Linked DNA regions of Tribolium castaneum. The protein of the gene in region 1 binds, or shares a complex with, the protein of each later gene. Links are inferred from orthologs where the notes say so. Each region holds a gene or a part of one and is shown on either strand. Other genes may lie near its edges.

What was found.
Region 2: Ran (region 1) and Ranbp21 share a complex: the UniProt entries of both Homo sapiens proteins name them as parts of the nuclear export receptor complex. The link is inferred for Tribolium castaneum from reciprocal best matches to the Homo sapiens genes RAN and XPO5.
Region 3: the proteins of Ran (region 1) and Nup50 are in contact, whole or in part, in a crystal structure (PDB 7MO0), measured with the Homo sapiens proteins. The link is inferred for Tribolium castaneum from reciprocal best matches to the Homo sapiens genes RAN and NUP50. Residues at the interface, in NP_006316.1 of Homo sapiens: Arg29, His30, Thr32, Gly33, Glu34, Phe35, Glu36, Phe52, Val124, Asp125, Ile126, Lys127, Ser153, Asn154, Tyr155, Phe157, Glu158, Phe176, Ala178, Pro180, Ala181, Leu182, Ala183, Pro184, Glu186, Val187, Asp190, Pro191, Ala194, Tyr197; in NP_009103.2 of Homo sapiens: Pro344, Pro345, Lys346, Val347, Val352, Lys362, Cys363, Lys364, Phe366, Tyr367, Lys368, Asn371, Glu372, Phe373, Lys374, Glu375, Lys376, Gly377, Ile378, Lys384, Lys390, Gln392, Leu394, Arg396, Thr399, Asn400, Leu401, Asn403, Ile404, Leu405.
Region 4: the proteins of Ran (region 1) and cdm are in contact, whole or in part, in a crystal structure (PDB 3ZJY), measured with the Homo sapiens proteins. The link is inferred for Tribolium castaneum from reciprocal best matches to the Homo sapiens genes RAN and IPO13. Residues at the interface, in NP_006316.1 of Homo sapiens: Lys37, Lys38, Tyr39, Leu43, Gly44, Val45, Val47, Pro49, Trp64, Gly74, Leu75, Arg76, Asp77, Gly78, Tyr79, Ile81, Gln82, Asn103, Arg106, Asp107, Arg110, Val111, Tyr147, Trp163, Arg166; in NP_055467.3 of Homo sapiens: Leu33, Tyr34, Tyr35, Ile39, Lys42, Gln46, Leu49, Met50, Gln53, Glu73, Tyr76, Phe77, Ser80, His83, Ile84, Ile118, Thr121, Arg122, Val125, Val172, Glu175, Glu176, Thr179, Ser414, Asp415, Arg784, Asp785, Pro787, Asp788, Pro829.

Annotation. Positions count from the first base shown.
Region 1 is NC_087395.1:25,444,029-25,450,312, forward strand, and holds the start of Ran (GTP-binding nuclear protein Ran), read left to right. Parts: upstream 1-2,184; 5' UTR 2,185-2,316; intron 2,317-6,284. UniProt on the Homo sapiens protein: GTPase involved in nucleocytoplasmic transport, participating both to the import and the export from the nucleus of proteins and RNAs. Switches between a cytoplasmic GDP- and a nuclear GTP-bound state by nucleotide exchange and GTP hydrolysis.
Region 2 is NC_087402.1:11,608,188-11,614,329, reverse strand, and holds the start of Ranbp21 (exportin-5), read right to left. Parts: upstream 3,681-6,142; 5' UTR 3,553-3,680; intron 3,425-3,552; 5' UTR 3,399-3,424; coding exon 3,123-3,398; intron 3,072-3,122; coding exon 2,850-3,071; intron 104-2,849; coding exon 1-103. Other genes in the region: phenoloxidase-activating factor 2, read left to right, coding at 5,424-5,674. UniProt on the Homo sapiens protein: Mediates the nuclear export of proteins bearing a double-stranded RNA binding domain (dsRBD) and double-stranded RNAs (cargos). XPO5 in the nucleus binds cooperatively to the RNA and to the GTPase Ran in its active GTP-bound form.
Region 3 is NC_087402.1:5,414,511-5,419,872, forward strand, and holds Nup50 (nuclear pore complex protein Nup50), read right to left. Parts: upstream 2,849-5,362; 5' UTR 2,635-2,848; coding exon 2,476-2,634; intron 2,422-2,475; coding exon 1,420-2,421; 3' UTR 1,381-1,419; downstream 1-1,380. Other genes in the region: mip130 (protein lin-9 homolog), read left to right, coding at 1-1,121; zinc finger protein ztf-16, read right to left, coding at 3,728-4,432, 4,485-5,362. UniProt on the Homo sapiens protein: Component of the nuclear pore complex that has a direct role in nuclear protein import. Actively displaces NLSs from importin-alpha, and facilitates disassembly of the importin-alpha:beta-cargo complex and importin recycling.
Region 4 is NC_087395.1:23,156,283-23,162,537, forward strand, and holds the start of cdm (importin-13), read right to left. Parts: upstream 3,681-6,255; 5' UTR 3,481-3,680; coding exon 3,328-3,480; intron 3,281-3,327; coding exon 3,113-3,280; intron 3,070-3,112; coding exon 2,917-3,069; intron 2,849-2,916; coding exon 2,730-2,848; intron 2,678-2,729; coding exon 2,540-2,677; intron 2,491-2,539; coding exon 2,295-2,490; intron 850-2,294; coding exon 4-849; intron 1-3. Other genes in the region: RanBP3 (ran-binding protein 3), read left to right, coding at 3,942-3,960, 4,081-4,155, 4,208-5,019, 5,153-5,248, 5,299-5,415; Pex5 (peroxisomal targeting signal 1 receptor), read right to left, coding at 5,897-6,101, 6,150-6,255. UniProt on the Homo sapiens protein: Functions in nuclear protein import as nuclear transport receptor. Serves as receptor for nuclear localization signals (NLS) in cargo substrates.

The DNA of each region.
Region 1 (6,284 bases):
AAAGAGCTAGGAGAAAACGCTTTTTTAGATCGAAAAGAGCACATCAAAATCTATAAGATAGGATCGATTTTATTTGATTTTGAGACACTTTTAAAATTAGCCATTTTGTGGGAAGGGGTGTTAATTTTTTTTTATTTTTTTTATTTTCTCAATTACGACTAAACTACTTGAAAAAGTGTAACTGTTTTAATCCATACTAATGCAAAATGATCTGGAGAATCGATTGGCATTGAGAAAATTGCCAAATTCTCAATAGTTTTTAAGTTATATTTTTTTTTTAATTCGACCAATTTTTGCTTTTATTTGCAATTTTCTCGAAAACTATTAGTCGGAGTACAATGATCTTTTTTAAAAAAGATGGATAATATAAAGAGCTTTCCAACGATAGTACACTTCATAGAGTTATCTCTCATAGTTCCGGAGTTATTGCTCGATAAATGTTCCGGGTACTCGAAATCAACCAAAATCGCGACAAAAATTGGAAAAATTAAACATAAAAAAATCGAACATATGAACTTTTTTTGAACTTTTAACAACTCTAGTGGATTGTTAAGATATATAAAAGTCCATAAAACTATGCTAGAGTGAGTTTAATTTTTTTTTTATGAAAGTATTTGCGTTGACCATTAAAATTTTAAGCAAAAAAATTCAAAATTTTAAATCTCGTAAAAACCCGGTATAATACGTAGAATGAGCCGCTTTGCTCTCAGACTAAACAATTCTTTTTAAATCGCAATAAAATTTTGCCAACAAAAAAATTTTCGGATTGGGAAAAATTGGTGAAGATACTTATTTTCATTGGGGTCGATGGTGCAGAAGGGGAAGTTTTCGGCGGCGGCCGAGCTCTTGGTGAGCACATTGAAGAAGGTGGACTTGCCGACATTGGGTATCCCGACGATACCGACCCTCAAGTTGGTGCCCACCCGCCCTATGAGCGGCTTTCTCTCCGGCTCTTGTACCTTTTTAGGTGGCATGATCTGCAACACGAGCAACAAGACCGAATTAAACCACCTTTTAGATAAGGTCACGAGTTGGCATTCTGCGCCTTTTTCGTCCATTTTCCGATATGCAAATCGTCGGTTATGCGTTCAAATAATAACACACATCACCGACTGCAACTTAATTTGCACAAAATAGCAATTTTCAATCTGATACCGAAATTGTAACTTAGGGACTTTGCAGAGCGTTCAGCATTTTTAAAAAAGCACTACATAATAATAAGCTCACCGTTCCATAGGCTACAATTTCGAATTTACCATCAATTCCTACTTTCATATTAATGTAATTTGCCACACAGCGCCCCAGGCCCTTAAATCCGCCGTTATAATTTCGAAATTTCGCTGATTTAATCAATTTTTTACTAAAACAAGAACCGTCTCAAATTTCAACCAAATTCGAAAACGCCGCGACCCGTCATCACGCAAACCACCGCCAGGTGGCGACAAGGACCCACACACGATTTAACCCACAAAAACATAATTCCCGCAAAAACGCGACTAAACATTACGCAAAACAAACTTTTTTGTCATCTAATCCCCAAATAAGCAAAACAACAGCGAGACATGAACCCGATCGGCCCAAAAAACACGTGAAAGTTGCATAACCTCAAAGCCATTCTGTCGTTTTTTACCGCAAGACAAAGCCATTAATCGGAATTTTTTTTACACCGATCCATTCATACACTCGCACTACTCACCTCGATAAGGTCTAAAAGTGTTTTTGTTAAAGAATCAGAAAAACTCACAACACTACACAATCACCGGTAACCTATATTTTGACAGATAAGCGATCTTTTTTTAGGTTCGACGCCCGGCTAAAAGGTGGGCAAAAAAATAAAATTTTGATTTGTTAGCACATTTTCCCAAACGAATCATTCACTAATTATTGATTACTAATTAAAAAAAAACCTGATTATAAAATATCTGTAGCTCCCCCCCAAGCAGGTGTTACTCAATTGTTTAAATGCAAAATTCCCAAGGACACTTTCAACCCCTCAACTAATTAATTATTTTCTCATTAAATCTCTACGGAATTGTAAAAAAAAATATTTGGACAAAGTTGGGTAAGACCTACGAAGAACTCTTAAGACAAAATATATTTTTTATTAATGAATTAATTAAATTTGTTCCTGATCGACGTTCGATCGTTTTTTGTTTTAAATAAAAAATCCCCAAATGCAAATTTGACAACTTGACATTTGCAATTATTTGTTTGTGTGAAAAGTGGGACAAAAATGCAAATTTGAGGTGAAAAAGTGTGTTTTGTGCCAAAATTTCGTGTTTACTGAGTCTCTGGTCCTTCGCTGTGTGTGCTTTGGTGAGTGAAACTCAAAAAAAATTAGTTATAATGAACCCGGCTTTTAACAGACGCTCGGATATAACAAACAAAATTATAAGTCCCGTTTTAAAGTCCTATACCTATTGTAGTAACAAACTGGTTCGGTTTTAACGAACAAACAAACATCACTTTTAACGTCCAATATTTAGGCAAAAATACAGTGGCGTCCGTTTATAACGAACCCATTCATAACACACTTGATTGAGTTGTTGCTGAATTAACGCATAGGAAAGGTAAAATCTTGGCCATTTTCGACCAAATCTGGTGATTTTTTCGTTCCACTTTAATAAAAACAGGAAGAAAACCTTGATTTTTGGTCTAAAAACATGTTAAAATTCTCAGAACTTGCAAAAATAATGTCATTTTTGACATAAGTCTTTGATTTATTGAGAAATTTTGCACAATAATGAAGTTTTTGCTGAATAAACGCTTAGGAAAGATAAAATCTTGGTCATTTTCGACCAAATCTGGTGATTTTTTCGTTCCACTTTGATAAAAAACGAAAGGAAATTTTGATTTTTGGTCTAAAAATGTGTTTAAATTTTCAGAACTTGTAAAAATAATGTCATTTTTTACATAATTCTGTGATTTATTGGTTTACTTTTTAAGAAATTTTGCGCAATTATTGAGTTTTTGCTGAATAAACGCTTAGAAAAGGTAAAATTTTGCTGATTTCCGACCAAATTTGGTGATTTTTTCACTTTAGTTTAAGAAAAACATGAAGAAAACCTTGATTTTTGCTCTAAAAACGTGCTTAAACTTTCAGAACTCGTCATTTTTGACATAATTCTGTTATTTATAATTGAGTTATTGCTGAATAAACGCCTAGGAAAGGTAAATTTCTGGTCATTTTCGACCAAACTCTAAACTCGGACTTATCGGACTTATTTGCCTTATTATCATAATATGTAATATTTTTTAATAAGTCTATTTATACTTTATTTCCTGTATCTATTCCAAACTTTGGAACTCCTTTAACTTGAAAATTGTTCTTTGGGTGTTCGTTATGACCGCGTTCCACTGAATTGTTGATTTTGCTATTGCCCACCTTGTGTGTTTGCGCCAAGTAGAAAATTGCGAAAATTTGTTTGTTTGCGAGTAAATGCGTCTTAGAAATAGTATAGAATTACGTATTCCGGAGCAGTTGATTTCCATTTGGGTCCCGGAGCATAGAATGAGCATCGAATCGCACAATTACCGTATGAAGACATCAAAGCGATCGGAAAGCTCACAGGTTATTCAGGAAACCGCAATTGTTGCAAGTGAAGTGCACAAAAGCTTCACCTACAATAGCATTCGCCACATCCGGAATGTCGTAGCTTTTGGTCCTCTGTGTCGTCGTCGATATAATAAAGTATTGCGTTACTCTTAGCCTCGCCGACAGGAAACTGCAAACGTTATTCTGTCATTTTACGAGCCAGCATTTCAAAAAAGCCCATTCTTTGCAAAACATGTTCATTGGACGGGGGCCCTTGGGCCGCTGCCAAGCCTAATTCGCCATAAAAGTAATGAGTCGCTGCCTCATGATATACATTGTCAAAGAAATAAAAGTTTCTGCCTTTGGGGGCCAAATCAAGACCCGGCTCGCTCTTTTATCACTATAATCAGGCCGCCAGCGCCAAGATGGCCAACATCTCGACCACCACGTGAACAATAAGACGGCTCTGATTTTATAAAACTTTTCGGAAAAATTGCGATTTTTTTTTGTTTGAACGAAGCAACTTCCGAGGGTGCTTCCGGTGCACTGTGTGGCACGGGGCGCGATGCAGCTGTGGGGGGCGGAACGAGACCCGCCGCCGGAGAGGACGTCACCTCCTCTAACACATGGTCGCGTCACAATGTGACGGCTTCTTGTTATTTTATATCGGTAAATGTATTAGCGGAGATGGACGGCCTACTCGTTTCATTGCGACAGGGGTGGACACGCGCCCTTGTTTGCCCCAAACAGACCCCCACGAGAGCGACAACAGTATGGAAAAAAATCTTATTCAATTGTACGAAAATGTGTGCTCACAAAGATGGGACTAAATACTTTCGAGAGATCTTTTTTGAAAACATATTAATCTTCAAATCTCGCTTTAAACCGATTTTTTTTTTGTAATCACAATTTGAGAAACGAAAGGACTCGAAGCAGAAGAGGCTTGTTGATTGGTAAAGTCATAAAACAACAGAAGGTACTAAAATTTTATGAACTGTTGCTCTTTTCGAGCCCTGAAGCCCTTTTTCCACAAGGTTTTGCTAAACCGAACCGAAAAATTAGAAAATTAGATGGAAAACGATTACTTTTTGCTTTTTATGAACTAAAAACTCAGTTTTTTTAATTTTGCTAATGTAAAAATAATAAAATTTTTATTGCAATTTTGACTTTAATTTAATTAAAAGTAACATTATTTATAGGTACATGCGTTTGGTGTGAGAACGATCAGAACTTTTTGATATTTCGGAATTTTTTAAGACGAGCTCACCTAATAATTTAATTGCCTCATTAATTTCAGCAAGTTTTCCAAATTAGAAGTTATTAAAATTGTAAGCTTAGTTCATGGTATTTAAGGTGACAGAACCAGATTTTCATAAATAATTGTCTTCTTTAGGCATTTGAGCACATTTTTAAGTTAAAATTTATAGAAATTTTTTAGTAGATTCTTCTAAATCAAGGTGAGAAATCAATTTTCTCAGCTTTTTTTGAGGGTTTTTGCATGTTTTTCAGAGCGCACCGCAAATATTTCGATAAGATTCTCAATAATAACTCGAAATATCAGAAAATTTTGTGGAAAATGAAGCACTGTTTTAAGTTAAAGCCATAATTTTTCTGTAAGATTTCGCTGGTATTTATGTAAGATTATGAGTGTAATTTACTCAAAAATATTCTCGATGAGAGAGCTATAGGTAATAGATAATATTCTACATTAAATTATGGCTGCACTTAAGTCAAATATAATTTTTTAAACGTTTGCTAGGAATTTATTTTCGAGAGACTTTTACTAAATCATGTTGAAATGTCACAACTTCCTCAGCTTTTTTTCGAGCGTTTTGCATTTTTTTGAGACAGCAACGCAATTATTTCGTTAAGATTCTTAACAATAACTCGAAATATCGGAAAAATTTGTCAAAAATGTTGTTATTTTTTTGTTTTATATAAGTGTAATTTACTCAAACATTTTTTTAACCTTCTCGATAAAGGAATTAGAGTTTTATTAATTCTTGCTTTTTTCGAGCATTTGGGCATGTTTTCGAGCTGAAAAATCACGTTTATTGTTTTTTTTTCAATGTTTTGCACGTTTTTGAGATCTCAACGCAATTATTTCGAGAATTTTTCTATGAAAAATCAAAAAATTATGTCAAAAATAGTATTATTTTTCCCTCTTTTCAACGTCTAGTAAACACTTTTTCGAAATTAAGATTTCGAACGGCTAGTGCATTTTTTAGGCAGAAAAGCACTTTTTATTTGGATTTATTTTTCTTAATAATAGCTGGAAAAATTAGAGAAGTATTTTGGAAATGGCTTTATTCTTGCCTTTTGAACTAAAGACCCAGTTTTTCTGTGAAATTTCTTTGTGAATCCTTTTAAGTATAATTTGGAGAAACAGATTTTCTATAAGTTAGTTAAAGTGCCAGTACATCTCAACTTTTTTCAGTATTTGTGGTTTAAAAGGGTCACATTGCCTATAACGAATTAAGTAATAACATCACTTCTCTGTAAGAGTTCTTTCTTGGATGCTTTAATCAGTGATATGTTAATCACAGTTGATTTAATTAATTTGAAAATTTAGTCAACAGGTGTTGAAAGAATGCGATTTTATCGCAAGCCCGCCTTTTACGGCCGATTACAATAATCCTCGTGTCAGAACGGCCGTTTAGGTGGACATGTGTCAACAAAACTCCCTTGGAGGTCTGAACCTTCGTCTGCTTAGTTAGTTACACTTTAAAAAATGAGATTTCGAGGCGCC
Region 2 (6,142 bases), on another chromosome or scaffold:
TCACGTGTAATTCGATTAGACGAAGAAAAAAATCAAAGATGACCGCCATATTGGCGGTGAGGGCATGATAGATGTCTTTTCTTCGCTGATTTGATTCCAGCGTCTGTAAAAGAATTAAAAACAAATTAAAGACGAACAATACCTCATCATTAATTTTTTAGTTGGTTAAAAAATGACTAAAATGTTTAATGTAATCGTTAAACCTTAGTTAAAATTTTTCCATTAAATAGTTCAGAGTACATTTTCCATTTTTAAGTAAAATAAGAAAGATGGTAAAATTTAAGTACAAAATTATTTGGTAATAATATTAATAATAATATCTAGAACATAGAGTAAGTTTAAAGTAATGCGTGGTAATGCATAAAATTAATATTTTTGTTGTCAGTTATTTTTCAAAAAAATCCAGGTTTTTGTAAAATTATGTCTTTTTTATTTTTTTAAAGCAACCGACATTACTGTTTTTGATAGTATGCTTAACCCTGTCAAATTAGATAAATCGGTGTAAAAAATTCCTAGAGAATTGGATGTTTAGCCCTTATTGACCAATTTGTAGTATTCCGTGTTGTTTGTATGAATTAATCTCTTTTTTGCACTTTTGTTATATTAATATAGTTTTGTTATCCATCACGTATTGTCTTTGTTCCCCCTCAAGCGGCTCCCAAAAGTAATTCCCGGGACCGGGGTTCTCGTTCGAGATAAGAGTCACAAATTAATATGGAATCCCCTAGAGACTTCATTTATTCCCATTTATTATCAACTCGTGCAAAAAATAATTAATATAGTACAAGCTTGTTGTTTTTAACATTTTTCTAAATGTCATAACTTATTTCGAGCCATATTCAGCTTTCTTATTGTAAACTGACAACCAAATTTTGCTTTTCATAATTTGAAAGATATTAGTCTTCTGATTCAAACATGTGTAATATGCTAATATGTTTACTTTTACCAAAAATTGCGATATAAAAAAATATTAAATTAAAAAAAATAACAAAAGTTAATAAAAACTCTTTGTAATATGGTGTTAATAAAAAATGTTGACGTTAAAAATAATCTTGTTGCAGGAAAATCCTTTTACAAATTGTAAGTATATTTCATAAAATATTGGCAATATTGTTTTTATTTGTTGCTTTTTAGAACAACAATAATAGTTGCTGTCTTATTTGATACGATACAACTAGATTTAATGTTTTTTTTTCAAATTTAATATTTTTCTGCAATAATTTTTAGTAAAAGTAATAATATGCACATGTTTGTAACAAAAAAAGTAATATTTAAAATAATTTATATAAATATAGCATAAAATAATGTGACATTTAGAAATAAAAATTAAAAGCATCAGGTTATAAATTAAAAACCATCTTTTTTTTGTAAAAAACCATAAATAAAACTTTTATAGCGCTGCCGCTCTTCAAAAACCTTTCTGTATGGAAAGGATTAAACCTGGAACCTATTGCGCGCGAACAAACTTTTTCACATTGAACTTTTCAGGTTCCGCAAAATAAAGTTTTTCGTTTTCTCAAACACACTTTTGTAAATTATGCTAAGGTCTTGTAGTTTACGCTCGTAAGTTCGACTTTAATATTTTAATAATAATTATGTAATATTAATTATTTTATCATTTTTTTTTGTATTTCCTCTATGCATATGAATAACAACAAATAAAACTTACAATTGAAAAAATAAAACAAAAAATTATCACGACATTAACACAAACAAAAAACTTTTGCTCAAACTGCATAGAAAATTTAGCAACCAGTTAATGCATAATTATTATGTTAGTGAGCATGGTAATAGGAATGAAAATTGCGAAACTACATTTTTTTATCAAAATTCCAACCGTAGTAATGTAACAATTATTGTTGTCAAAACAATCTTTCGAAGATTTTTAAAATAAACAGCAAGGTAAATACAATTAAAAAATGGCTTTCAAAAGTAACTAATTTTTAAGTTTGCCAACATATTGTCACTTTGATGGTGTAGATGTCGCCCGAATCGATAACTGTGTGGCCTTCAAAACTGTGATTAAAGTGACCTGTGACTAGGAAATTCAGTTGACAACACTGAATTATTAGATTTATTTGGAAATTATGACAAATTAATAATACAATTTAACGGTCAATAATTTAATCTTTAATTAAGAAAATCAAGTAAATAACGACAAAGAAACGAAGCAGCACAAAATATGCACAAAAAAATACAATTTTGCGAAGGTCAGACCATAACTAAATATTTAAATATGCAAAAGTAGATCTATTATAAAATGAAACGAACATTTCACTCGCTACGGTCGCTTGTGCATTTTAAAAAAATATAACAATACAAACACGCAAACAATTTATAATTAATTTTTTTTATATAAATACTGTCAGTGTCAAATATCAGATAAAGACCAGACTATATCACCCTAACAGTGCATGTCCAACCACTTTTAAAATTGGCTGTATTCCGTATTTGACATTTTGAACACCAGATTTGACATTTTTGAAAATTGGACGTTAGTGTTAATCATTAATTCGTTAGTCTAAAGATGGTCTAAAAAATAACTAAATGTGTTGTACGTGTTTTAAAGTAGAGACAACTTGAAAAATTTGGAAATTGAATTTGCCAGGTAAAATATTACACCAACCTTAATTCAAAAAAATTACTATTTATGATAATGCCAACCCGGCGGCTCTTAAATAGTTGATTATAAAAAAAATCGACAATTAATAGGTAAAATTGGTAGAAAAATGTATAAATAAAATAAAACAAATTTATAAACAAACTATGACTCCAAAATCATGTGGGCTCGGTTTTTCCAATGTTGTCAACTTAGTTTCTAAAATCCTAGCCGCAAAACCCCAACTCACCTGCAGTAAAGCAACATCCTCAACTAATCGTAGAAACACCAACAAAACCAATTCAGTTTGAATCTCCCCACAAGAACAAGCTTCCGACAGCTCTGAGAGCAAACCTGGCCATTGTTGTGGCCATTCTCTCTTCACCATTTCCACAATAACTCGACTTAAAGCATCCTTCATGTGTGGTTCGTCACTAATCCCTCCAGCAGCAAGCAACTTCATTGCATTTTCCTGAAACAACAATCATTAAACTCCATCTGATGCAATATGAAGCAATCGCACCTTGATGAAGATCTTCTCCTGTTGGGAAATTTGCGTCCAGCGATACTTGACCGTATGCTCCATCAACTGCAAGCCGAAATGCCTCGAAATCAAGGAATGTTGCGTCCCTGCGGCCAAATAGAGCCCAGCTTCGGCACACAGAGGTGAAGTCTCTTTAAAGCTTTCGCACGCGTTGTATGCTTTGAGTCGGTCGGTTTGCGAAGCTCCGGTGCTCATTGTGAGTTCAACGGCTCTTGCTAAATCCGCAGCAAGAGCCGCAACGTCTGGTCCAGCCATCGTTTTCGAAAAATTCGGAGAAAAAACTACAAGAACAATCACATGGTGCAAAACAGCATGCTTTTGGTTCGAGGAAGGAAAAGGGGGATTTAACGGGTGATTGTGTGAGAAGTGATTAAGGCGAGACCGAAAATTAAGTGGTTTTAAGACTTACGTTGATTTTTTTGAGTTATTTCTAGTCCATGACACGATTTTCGAACAAATGATGTTTCACTAATAATTTGCTCATTGACGGTTGCCGGCCATTGCCGGCGTGTGCGGCATCTGGTGGAGTTTTCCACAAACTTGAACCAAAATATTTACAGTTTTTTAGCACCAATTCACTAATATTGAAAATTACGCTATAAATGTAAAGAATTAGATAAGGGCCGAGAAGCATTTTATTTTTTTATTAAGAATGTTTTTTCATATGTTTATATTTAAAGTTTATGCAACCAACATTACAACAGTGTATATAGTTTACTGATTTTGTCGAAATTTTAACTAAAAAAATTGTTCAAACTCCAATATTCTTTGATTATAAAATTTAAAGGTCTAACAATTTTGAATTTATAATAAACCTACAGAATTAAGCTTATAGCATACAAATTGTAAAATAAAAATTCTATTATTTGTTTTTGAACTTTTAACATTTTAACTTTAGTTTTTACAGAGTCCTCAAACACTGGAACACCAACATTGTGATAAGTTGTTGAAAAATATGTGTAGATTACGGAAAAGAAATCTTAAACCGATTCTTAAAATAACATTTATAAACTTATTTTGATTATTTCTTTACTTTTTATTATTATTCTGGTTCACACTAAATAATAGTTCTCCAACACAATGAGGAATGATTATTTTTTTAATTTATTATTAATATTTGAATTTAGAAAAATTTAAAATTATCAGAAAATCAAGATCATCAGTATCCAGCACTGGGTACTATTTTTTAGAAAACTGTTTAAAAATAACACATTTTTACTGTTGATCTAATTTTATTGCGATCGCGATTGTTAGACAATGTTGCATATCATTTATTTAAAATTCGTTATTTTTTATCCATAACTTTAATACAGTATTTAGTATTTCTACCTTTATCTGTAAACATTTCTCTGCCACATACAAACTGAAAAAACAATGAAGAAAACAGTGAACAATGCGTTTTTTAAAAAAGTAACACTTTAGTTTTTGATAACTGTAATTTGTTTACAGTTTGACCAACTTTTGTTTTTTGAAAAAAAAAGTTGGCCAACTGTCGAGACTGTTGAGAGCCACTGTGTGGTTTAGGGTAGTTAATTTTTTCCTTAAACATAATAATAATTAATAAGAATTTTTCAAGATTGTGGCTAGCATGTTGATTTGCGTGGGAGGTTGGAACCCCAGTTCTGGCATGAAATTCTTTTTGTATTTATTTTGTAAAATTTATTAACAAAACACAAATTGAAATAAAAGAATTACGAAATGGAGCAAGAAGTTAATTTACCTCTGCCGTTTTATCAATAATTTTAAAGTGCACGCTAATTTTTATCATTCTTGTTCAGCGGTTCTCAAACTTTGGAACCTTAAGATTAAAACGATTTTTTTGAAAAACTATGCATTGTCGATATATTAAAATGTTACTTAATAGATTCGTTTTGTCATTCTCTATCTACCTTCACTTTTTGCTAAACCATTTCCTAACAGACTGTATAAGGAGGAAATGTAAACTTAAGTGAAATGATGGAGGATGAGGCATTTTGTATAATAAATTAGAAATAATATAATAAATTAAATTTTTTCGCGTAATACATTTTACTTCTCAGTTCGAAATTTTTCAGAAAATAATTTTCTGACACCGGCGTTGAAAAAAAAACAACGAACACAAATATTTTGTTTGGGAAAGTTACGACCATAAAAGTGTTTTTAAATTTTTACAAACCACTCAAATCATCATTACGGCACACAATGACATCAAGCCATACCATTTTCATTAAGAAACCAGTCGCATTTTAGCTTTTCTAACTGTGAGCATCTAGTCGTGTTGAACTAAATTTCTATTGCGGAATGAAATCAAAATTATTAACCGTTTTATTTAGCGTATTTTATGTAATTTCCTGTCAAAACCTAGATGAGGAAATTGATGATTTATGGGGAAATAAAGAGGAAGAAGACAACAACCAAATGACCACATTAGCACCTAGAATGTCGGATAATTACACCATCGCACAAGAATGTGAATGTGTGCCTTATTATTTGTGTGATAGAAAGAAAGAATTGAAGGTAACAAATAATGGTGCAGAATCAATAAATGTAAGGTAAGGACAAAATTTATGCGAATCTGGACCCTAAAATAATTCTGAATCAAATTCAATTCGATCTAAATTCAACTTTGGACCGCATTGGATTAGATTGTGCCTGTTTTTCTTGTATACTCAAACAAAAAAGTTTTTGCACTTAAAATCAGCAAATTTTGTTATGTGATTAATTCTAATTATGTAATTTAAGTCCATAATCAGATTCCACTTAAACCTAGTAACCTACAGTCACGCGCGTAAAAAATGACACCTCATTTCAATTTCAACAAATATGTACCAGCTGAGGCAAGTTTTACACTCAGGCACTTTATACCTCTTTAAAATCTATATAACATTCTAAAAAAAATCGTATGCGATTTTATTGTATAGAAGAACGTTTTGACCAATTTTTAAAATGTTTACTTGAATGGTTTGTTTTTTCATTTTCGCTTAGTTAACTGTAGTCTAATGTCAACGATTTTTGTCTGT
Region 3 (5,362 bases), on another chromosome or scaffold:
GAATGATGGGGAAACCCCGACGTTGCTCTCAAGCTTTCTTTCACGAGGAGAGATTAGAATTGGAGAAAAAACGGAAAAAAATCAGAGCGTTACAACAGAGGAAAGCCACCGAACTTTCGAGTTTTAAAGACTTGCCACCTGAAATCCCCATGCAATTGGTTATCGGTACAAAAGTAACAGCCAGGCTTAGAAAGCCACAAGACGGATTATTCACCGGAAGCATTGACGCTGTGGACACCTCAAACAACACCTACAGAATAACATTCGAGCGCCAGGGATTAGGCACACATTCTGTGCCTGATTATGAAGTTTTATCAAACGAACCACCCGAAACCCTCTCGTTGTCCAGCTTCCAGAACAAGTTCAGACCCTGGAACGGGATCACAACATACGCGGCGAAAATCTCCCCTTACACAAACCTAAAATTCAAGAAAGATCCCTTACTGTCGGGTTCGATGATCAATAAGCCCATTTTCCCGCAGGAGGAGGGCCGGATAGGGGGATACCCGACCAAACTTTTGGAAAAAATGGTCTTAATCACGAAAATCCTCAGCGTCAAGAGGACGAAAATCAGCGAACTGAAGGGCATGAACGCCAAGGCGGAGAAATTTAATTCGTTTCATTCGGAGATTCCTGAAGAGTTTCAGCGGAATTACGCCTGCATTTTGATCGATCTTGAGAAGTTAAATCACGATTTGCAGCTGTATCTGGATGATGTTCAGGCGCTCTGCCAGGAAATCGCCCCTGAGCCGAGCGTGGCGGCGATGCTGGCGCCAAGCCATTTGAGGGAAAAGTGCCGAGAAGAGGCCGCTGAAATTGTACAAAGACAGAATTCGATCATTTCGGCCGACAAGGATCCAGTTAAGAATAAATCGATTCTGGAACTCATCACCGATCTCACGGCTTTGATGTTGCAAGTAAAAAGTTTGGCCGATTCGGATCAAAACGCATACGAATTGCAAGTGCTCCAAGGCACGATGGAACAAATCAAGAGGAAGTTGACGCCAAGTAATCAACTAGTGTTCCAGAACTCCGTCGAAATTCACATGAAACACATTCAAGTCGGTCTCGGGCAAAATTTAGATAAAAAACTCGCCATAAATGGAATTTCCAAACTATGATACTTTTTTTCTTTAAAAATGCAGGTTTTTAAAGCAGAATGCTGTGCAATACTATAATGGCCACAATTTCGATTTACACGTCTCGTTTTATCTTACTGTTTACCGCGGGTTTTATTTATAATTACTGTATTTTTGTGGGTATTTCACAGAATGTGTATATTTTACTTGTGTAATTAATAAAAATGTATATATGAGGCACCATATGTAATTTTAGAACTGTTCAAATTTTTATCAAAATTGGTTTGAAAAAAAAAACGTCTACTTAGAAAAATATTTTATTGAGCTAATCACCCCTAGCCTATTTTTTGTGTTTCTGCAAAGTTTTCAACAACTCATCGGCATCTTCCGGACTTTTCACCCGCAATAAAATCGGCACGGGTGGAGGTTGCGTGTCTGGATTTGGAATACAAACTAACATAACATCCTTTTTCCCCATCCTTTGCATTGGGATACTTTCCGACAAAATGAAATTACAAATTAATTTTCCTAAATTCGTATCAGCGCGCACGATGAGTTGGACTTTCTCGCCGTTTGGGACTGGCTTGAGGTACAGAGTGCCCACGCCATGGTCTCCAAAAGTGCCATCCTTCTTCACAAAAACCTTGCATCTGATTGAATAAATGTGTCCCTCTTCTACCACTGGCGTAAACTCAACTTTGGGCGGCTCGTCTTCGTCTTCTTGCTCTTGGGGCTTTGGCTCATCTGCTAGTTTTATGACAGTGCTTGTGAATGAAAATTTGCCGCTGTCAGAGCCTGAATTACCAAACGAAAACGGTTGCGATTTAAAGGAGCTGTCGCCTCCTGATAGGGTAGCTGTGCTAGTGCTTGAAGTGAAACTAACTGTTGTGGTACTGGAGCCAAATGAAAATCCTGTGGATGCGGTAGAAGTGGCCCCAAATGAAAATTTAGGAGTTGTGGTTGTAGAGGTTGTACCAAAGGAAAATTGGGGCGCAGTTGTGGCACTAGTTGATGTTTCTGACGCTGCCTCGCCTTTCGCCTTTTCAAGTTCGTTGATATATTTATCGTAATCTTTGAAAATTGGTTGTAAGTTGATAAACGGGTTTGATGACACGTGTTTTTTTATCCATTCAGTGACACTTTCATTTAATCCTTTTAATTTGGCATAATATTCGTCTAATTTCTTGTCGGAAGTCTCTGCTTCTTTTTCCGTAGTTCCGTTGGTTTTACTAGTCTCGGTTTTATTTAAGTTTGACAAAAATCCAAACGTGTTGGATGCACTACTTGGCGTTTTACCAAACCCAGAAAAACCACCGAATGCGCTGGGTTTGCTATCGTCACTCTAAAAATTAAAATTGTTCGTAATCAAACAACACACATTAGAAACCGTACTGACTTGGACTGATGATATGGGGTTCCTCCTGCGGGCAACTTTTATAACTCTGTTCTTCAAAGCTTCATCTGAAGCTTTTGTAAACGTTCCAGCCGTCTCTGGTTCGTCCTCCCTATCCCAATTATCGTGATTTAAATCACTTGTTGCCGTTCTTTTAGCCATAAATGGAGAAACGAATTTGCGAGGTTAAGATACCGACACACTTCCAAACAATTTCACAAAACATAGACTATCACAGAATTGGCTTATTTAATGATTTGCATGTCGTGAGACGGAAAAATTCGTTTTAAGCACTTTTTTGGGTAAAATAATTTACAAAAATTGACAACCACTATGCGTGCCGGCTCGTATCAGGCAAACGCTGATTGGCGGGAATTTAATCACGTGACTACGAACTTAAAATTTGGCGGTATTTTTCCGGTGGAATTTTTTGCCAGTCGTAGCGGATACGAATCTCATTTTTTGACTTCTTTCCGGTGTTTGTTTTTAGACTGGTGTAATTGAAACGAAGCGAGACGAAAATTCCATAAAGTTTATTTAACCCTTTCACCAGAATTACAAGAATTTGTAATTTACATTTTGTGTATAAATAAAAAAAAAATATATCTATATTTTTGAATGAACTGAAGGAATGTAACATGTCGCCCTACTATCTACACTACGATAATTGCCTACGAAAATAAAATCCTTACTTCGTAAAAAAATTTAAATGAACTTAAACGTCCGAGTGCAATTTTGTTTAAGGCACTGCAAAATATATTGCACGAAATAAAATTACCATAAAATATAACAATAAATACTGTACAAACTATTTTGTTTCTGTCTCATGGAATCAACAATACACTAAAATGGAATGTATATATAAAATGTAAAACTTAATTCTAATTTATGTAACAATGTAATGAAGCTCCAACTATAGAGACTAAGCACTTGCTTTACAATATATTTTGGAAAATATCATGCTTGTAAATATACCTCTCTTCTTACTAATGGACGGATATGAGTTTAGAGCAAATCTTCAGGTAATTTTGCTTATAGGCAACCGGCAGGCACTTGGACAATTTCCAAAAGGGAATGAAACTAAACGGAATGCTCGTAAATGTACCCATAAAACCCTGAACTTGTTCAAAAACAAGAAATGCATCAACAATTTCTACAACAAATTATCACATACTCAATTTTTCCGTGTAAAACTGTATGAAACTTGAACTAATCTAAACTTTACAAAGTATGTCATAGTTTAAGTAAATCGAGCCTACTGATGACTTTTACTCAACAAATGCGAATTAAACTCGTAAACATTGCAGCACTGCTCTCCGCAGATATTGCATTTCCAAGGATTCGCGTCGGAGTGACACCCTTTATGCAAAAAGTACAAAGTCTGGTCTGGAAATCCGATCCCGCAGAAAATACATTGTAAACTAGACAAAGACCTTTTGCCCATCGCCCGCCACAGGGAGGAGTCCGACGGTTGTTCGGGCCCCGTCGAGGTGATAGCCCCATTGGTGGTGGTCGCCGTGTCACTGGGCGAAGTCTCAGGATTCTGGTTGGGACTCGCGGTGGAGCGCCCCCTTGGCGAGGAGTTCATCCGCGAGACGATCTTCCTCTTTAAATCGTCACGAAGTAAGCTCTTCAACGGAGACACTTTGATTAACGAGCTAAGGCTACTTGAGGTCGCTGTTTGCATTTGTACGCTTCCCGAGGGAGAGGTGCTTGGGTTAGGGCCGTTTCGTTTGGAAACGTCGTACAGCTCGTCTCCAGGTTCCTGTTTTATGGGGATGAGGGAAATTGAGGGCGTTATGTTCGTTTCTTGGTCTATTCTAAGGGAATTTGGTTGAATATGGCTGCTGGACGGAGCATTCGAATTGGAGTCGGCTGATTGAGGGGAGCCGGGACACTCGCCGTTTATCCTTTGGGACACTTCGCCGCTTTGGCCCGGCAAATTCGAACGCTGGTCGTTCTAAACAAACTGTCTAAGAAACAGGACTAAATCGCTTTGAAACTGGACTTACAAGATTCGGGGAAAAGACGGGCGCCGGAGCATCGGCCATTGAAATCTCCACGTGTGGTGTTAGAAAATGCATAGGTGGGGTTGCGTTATCCGTCGAACGAGCGCCAGTGGAATCCCCAGAGTCGCTATAATTCGCCCCTGTTACGCTCACAGACACGCTCCCCGCCAAATTACCCAACGAAGTCAAAGCACTGTCCATGGAAAAGCCCTGTTGGGCGGCCGCCGCAAACAGAGACGCCTGAGACCCAGCCGGGCCTGGATTATCCAAATCAATCCCATGTCTATTGAAAAAATGCACCCGCAGACTCTTCATCGAGCCCGCCCTGTAGCTACAAAGCGGGCACGACTTGACCAAGTCATGTTGCCCCACATGCTCATTCTGAAAATGGGCCCTCATGGCAATCTGCCTTTGGAACCCCCTGTTGCAAATGGGGCAATGGTAAGGCAACGTCTTCGTGTGAGTGGTAAAGTGTTCGGCGAGATGGTCCTTCCGGAAGAACCTCTTCTGGCACACTCTGCACTCGTAGGGCTTCACGCCCGTGTGTCTCATCTTGTGGCGTCTCATGTTCGCCCCGTTGCTGAATTTCATGTTACAGACGTCACATTCGAACATCTTCCGGTGTATCCGGTCGGGTGGTGAGTTATTGTTTTCTGTTTCCATTTTGACTTCGTTTGTGGTGTGGGCTTGGGACACGTGGGCTGCTAAGGCTACTTTATTAACGGCTTCAAAGTCGCATCGGGTGCAGCGATGGGTGCCTTCGCTGGAATCGTAGTTCGTGTTTGAACCCGTCACACGCTCGGCCTCGTTGTGTTCGGCGTCGTCTTCTTGAGTGCCGTCAGGGGCCTCCTGTGCAGGGCCACCACTTCCCGAATCTGCCT
Region 4 (6,255 bases), about 2.3 Mb from region 1:
TACTTGTGCTGCTAGCAGAATATGGTCGGCGTATGGTAATAAATACTTCTGGCAGCTATGTGTCAAGTCTTTCAAGGCCATGGTAGCGCTGGTTGCAACTTCGGGTTTGTCTAGCGCCGAAATCACCAATGGTAACACATTTTCCAACATTTCTGGATGTTCGGTGATCCAATCAGAGTACGAGCCTACGGTTTCTAGCGCCGAAGCCATGACTTTTTTGTGCAAGTCGGTAAAGGGGATTTCTTTAATCGTAACCATCAGCTTGGGCAAATATAAATTTTCGAGTTCGATAGATTCGGCAATTGCGCCGAAGGCGTGAAGGCAAGTCTCGACTTCGTTCCATTGAATAGGCGGGGGAACCACCGATGTATTATTCTTATGTAGAGCTTCGATCAATTTACTGTTCAAAATATCGAGCATTTCCAAATTTAAAACATTGTAGCAGTAGATGAACGTGTCGGCGATGTCTTGCCGGTAACAGCGGAACACTTCCTTATCGTCCAGCGACCAATCGCCGTCCTCATTCAATGGAAACATGGATTTGCGTAACATTATACAAACTAAGTCGCGATAGTAGGGTTTTATCATTAGTAACAATTGGGCGCATTCGGCCGTTTCTAGCGATAAAATATCGTCTTGTAACGTGTACCAAAAACCGAAAGTTAAGGTACTGCTTGATTCATCAACGGGGTACAAGCCGGGTAGATTTGTACATTTTAAAATCGAGTTGAAAAAATCGAAACTGATTCGTTGCTCGTCCACGTTTTCCGATTTTAAATTGTTGATGAAAATTTTCGAATGCACGTCGGCTATTGTTACCAATAAGCCATACAAGTTGGCTACAATGTCCTAAAATATGCGTGTCAGCATCACTTCAATCGAGGACTAAATCACAGCCTCCTTGAGGGAATTTGTGGCAATTTTTACCAGATTTTAATCGATTTTCTTTAATAGAGCAGAAGGTTAAAATATTTTTATTCTAACAGTTTTGTTTACCAATTTTTGTCTAATTCTGTGATTTTTTTGACTACTTTCCAACGTAATCTTGCGTCTCTCCTTAAGAAAAATAAACTAATCGCTCAAAGAAAGCAAAAATAACACAATTCCTGACTTAATTTTGTGAATTTTTGGATGGTTTTAATAAAATTTTGCGAAATAATTTCGTTTATGGCTTTAAGACCTAATAAAACACCCAAAAACAGCCAAAAAAAAATTTCGATTTAATTTGGTAATTAATTTCAGTCTTGTCTAAAGAGTTCGTACAAAAAACTGACAGTTTATTTTGAAAATAATTGAAAAAGGTAAGAATAAGGCAAATTTCGACAGATGGAAGAATTTAATTTAATTCTAGAAATAATAGCGCTTTTATCAAAATGTCACAAAAAATTAAGAATTTATTGCGTAAATACGTGTGTAAAAAAGTGTAAAAGTGAAAAGGTAAAAATAACACAATTTTCAAGAAAAAAAAATCCTAAAAAGAAGTTAAAAAAATTCTCGTAACAACAAAATAAATTCAATATTAAATAATTCAAGCAGTTTTGCGACATTTTTCATAAAAAAATACACAAATTTTGGCTTAATGTGTTGATTTTTCAATCACTTTTAGCAAAACCTCACCCAACACTTAAGATTTTAATTCAAAAACGTGCTTAAAAACACTAAAAAGATGGAAACAACACAATTTTCAACCAAATTTTTCTGGGTTTCTTGACTTATTTTCAACGAAAATGTGCGAAATAATGACATTTCTGGCTAAAAACGTAAGAAAGTAATTTTTCAATGAATTTATTTGTTGGGAAAACGTTTCTACCTACAAAAAAATGTACTCGATATAATCGCATTTTCGGCTTAAACTGGCGAGTTTCCGCCTTGTTTGTAACAAAATTTTACAAAATAATTTAATTTGGATGTTATCTTACAAGCTTTCGGTAAAAAAACCGAAATTTTAAGATAAAAACGGGTTTTAAAAGTTCAAAAAGCTAAAAATAATACAATTTTCCACAAACTTTGGAGTTTTTCAGCTTAGTTTTGACGAAATTTTACTGAAGTCAGCTGCTACTACTACAAAGTACCATCAATTTAGATATTTTTGGTGTTATTATTTACGTATTATTTGACTGACAAAATAAATGAGTCTAAAGTTCAAAAACGAATTAAATCAAGTATCAATTTCGATTCAATTTGGAAAAAAAATGTCCCCCAAAAATCTGCTTAATTTTCAAAAAAGGCAATTTTAATACCATTTCCTATCCATCAAGGAGGCTACGTTTTTATCCTCCCTAAACCAAACTCACTTTATTGCTCTCTGGACTATTCCTTTCACATTCAAGGATTTTTTCAAATTTGTACAACATATCAGCACTACATTTCATCACATGGTTGTGATACCGATTAGTGTGCGGGTGCTGGATTATGGTGGTTAGAGCCTCCACAGTCACTTCCATCAACTCCATTTCTTCTGGAGACATGCATTCAGGATCCGTCTTGTTCCTTTATTATTTTAACTGAGAAAATTTCCAAAATCGATTCCTGAACTTACCAATATGCGAAACACGTCAAATTTATTAAAAGATTCATAACTGACGTACAATCGTCAATATTTAAACCGCCTAACTGTATCCAAGCAGACGCACATCTTGCCGCATTTAAATACGTCGTCAAATTTAACATATCGAAGCTAAAAGATGTGTGAAAAATTGTAAGAAATTAATTTAAAAGTGCGTAAATACCCGGCACTTGGAAGTGGCATGAGACACATCTCGACCACTTTAAGGATGTCTTTCGAAACGTCTTGCAAGACAGTGCGTACCCTCATCCGTTGGCTTACTGCTAATAACGTGCTTTGAAACTAAAAAATTACCATGATCAAAGTCGCCTGTGACTTAAGTGTTGCCAACTCAATTTCCGAACCCTTACCTCTTCTGGTATCACAGTCAGGATTTCTAAAAGTATCCAAATGACTCTTTCGGGCTCAACGTTGGGCAAGTGCTGGGGCTGGAAACTCGAAACCAGCTCTTCAAACGCATTGGGCCAATGCGTCGGCACAGTGTGTATAATATAAGCCGACAACTGGAACAGACCATAAGTCGAAGCTTCCCCCTTTGTAACTTACAGTAATGCAGAGCCGGTTCAGGACAATTTTGGGGCCCATGGCATAGTTAATAATCGCCTCCAGAATGCGCTTCTTCAACAGCTCGTAATGATCCTCCGGCACCTCATTCCAGTGCTTCATCAGCTTCGTATGGAGCGTCGTGGCAGCAAAGAACTGCACTTCGGAATTCTGCAAATCAAAGCTCACTTTACGCACTGGCGCGAAACTAGGCTTACGCGATGGGGGCTCAACAACTCCCACACGAAGCTCCACGCTTGGGGCGAATTCTGGGCCTCGGTCAGCCACTGGTGGGCCTCCGCCTGTTGCCCCGCTTCGGTGCGGTAAAATAAGGTCACGGCTTTTTCCAAATTTTCCGCCGTGTATTCCATGCTTGATGCGAATTTAAACCAAATCTTCGAATTAATTACGAGTTTGTTTTTACTTTTGCTACATTTTACGGAGTGACAGTCGGCGTTACGTCGATAACTGTCAAAAATACGCGCTCGTCAGCAGTCTTACGACACGCGCTGGGGGCCAAGGGGGCTGACACCAACTGGGAAATGGGGCGTTTTTGTGCACTTTTTGCCACGATAAAAAACACAAATTGTCGATTTACGAATTGGACGAGGTTAAGGCGCCCCCACTGTCGCCAACCCAAAAATTACAATTTTGGAAAAAAATTAATAAAATTGTTTAAGCGCAACATTTTTTTTAGTGTTGTTTAAAACGGTGTTTATTGATTATTTTAAATCATCCAAAGGCTGGAAAAGGGCAAGGAAAAGGGTGTTTTTCGTGTGGTGTTGGTTGCATAGACAGCCGTCACTCTTTTGGCAGCTGGTTGATTAGAAAAATGGCGGATACCACAGAAAGTGAGTTTGTTTAATAAACATATAATTTCAATTTTTGTTATCAGTGTTGTGATAACGGTCAGAATTGGTTTAGATTTGCGCTAGTGCGAGGTACATGTTTTGATTTTGTCGCTTTTATAGATTTGGACAATAGTGGTAGCCTTAACCCCCCAATAACAATGAAAGTGGATGCACCAGCGGAAGAAGACAAAACAGGTAACCCAAACGTTTCGCTTTGCTCGTGTTTGCTTCACGTGCCCCGTTCCAGAAGCTGGTGACAACGAGAAAAACGCCAAGAACGAAGAATTCAAAACGTGCACTCCTGATAGAATTCCAGTAACAAGTGTTACAACAAACCCGTTCGCTACTTCACAAAACAAATTGGCAACGCGTGGCATTTTGAAGCCTCCTCAGTTGAGTCTAAACAACGCTAACAATTCCGCAAAACCGGCTGTTATTCTAAATCCGAGTCGACTGAACCCGTTTGCTAAACCAACAAATGATGGCGCCAAGGAAGAGAGCAAAACTGTTCAATTGAACGGGGAAACACCAAAATTCGTACCACTGGTGCAAACAGAACCAAAAACGAACTCAACTCAGCCGGTTGTAACAACGGCCAGCACAACCCTCTCGACAACTTCCTTCGTTTTTGGACAGAACCTACAGGACCGTGTTGTGGGCAGTGACGCGAAAGCGGACGAACCTAAACCTTCGACTAGTTTAAATTCCAATGGGACGTCGGAAATGCTCTTTAGCAGCGCTATTAAGAGTGAGGGCAAAACTGATGGAACCATTACCAGTAAAGAAACGAAGTCGTTGAGTGAGTCGGCGAGGGAGTACGAGGAGTCGAGGGCCAATAAGAGGAAGTACGAAGAGGTGGAAATTATCACGGGGGAAGAGAACGAAACGAATATTTTAAACATTAATTGTAAATTGTTCGCGTTTGATAAGGCGTCTGGGAGTTGGCAGGAGAGGGGCCGAGGGGTTTTAAGGCTGAACGACTTTGAGGGCGAAGGGCACGCGCAAAGTCGGCTGCTTTTCCGGACAACGGGGATTTGGAGGGTTATACTGAACACCAAAGTGAGTGGCCAGGTTATTTCCCCGGGCCTATGAATTTTTTCAAAATTTTTCCACATTTGTCTTTAATCAAAAAATAAAACTGGTTTCATTAAAATATATTAAAGCTGGTTAGTTAATTTCGGTAATTTTTTAGATTTGGGCGGAAATGACTGTAGAACAGGCTAGTGAGAAAAGCGTGCGGTTCACGGCGATGGACCCGCAAGGTGTGATCAAAGTTTTCCTCGTAATGGTGAATTAAAGTGATTTTTTAAATAATTTTTTATTGCTCGTTTGTTTCAGGCTAGTATTGAAGATAGTAAACAACTGTACTCACAGATCCAGCTTAGAGTGCAGAAAGAAATAGCAGCCCAAAAACATAAAAAACTTAATGTAGATAAAGACTCAGGGGGCAATTAAATTGTTTACTAAATAAAACATTTTCACGGTACCATTGTGCAGAGTTCATTTTGATAAAACTACAAATGTGATGTAAATTAAGTTTTAATCTTTAAACAGTAACGTTTTTACAGAAGTTTTGTCACGCTCATCGATTCTAGTTATTTAAAATCTAAAAGTATCATTTAATTGGATGTGTTATATTTTGTAATGATAAGCAATAAAACTTTGAAAAAAGTACAAGCCCTTTTGCTACCCACAAAAATGAAACTATTTAATTCAAACAATTATTAAGCTGACATGACTACAGTGAAACCCCTTACAACTGCATACACCTAAACAAAAGGCAAAAAATGATCATTTTCCGTTGTTCTGGTTAAATAAGTTACAGACAATGGGATAATGATTTTAACGGGGACAGAGATAAGCAATGAAACTTGTAAAAAGACCAACAGTATATTTTTTGGGGCATACAAAAATAACAATCTGCACAATCTCAATTCTACACAATATCGAAAGCCTTATTCAGCGTTTCCAAGTCCCGATTATCCACTGCCGCCCTAAGTTCCACCTTATTCAACAAAGAGATACACATTCGCAACGTGGACCATATCGTGTCCGACATCTGCGACATTGCGGGTGAATTTTTTACGTCCCTGCCCCTCGCCTGTTGGTTGAGAGCAGTTAAAAAGTGTTCGGCGGCCTCCCTGTAAAACACCTCTCAAAAAAAATACACTCCAAATAAATAAAGTCACCTATAGGCCCTTAAATTTATACAAATTATTCCTACATTATACCGCGCTCGTATAAAACCAGGCTCTAGGTCTAGTGCGCGGTGATACGCCTCCACAGCCTCCTCCG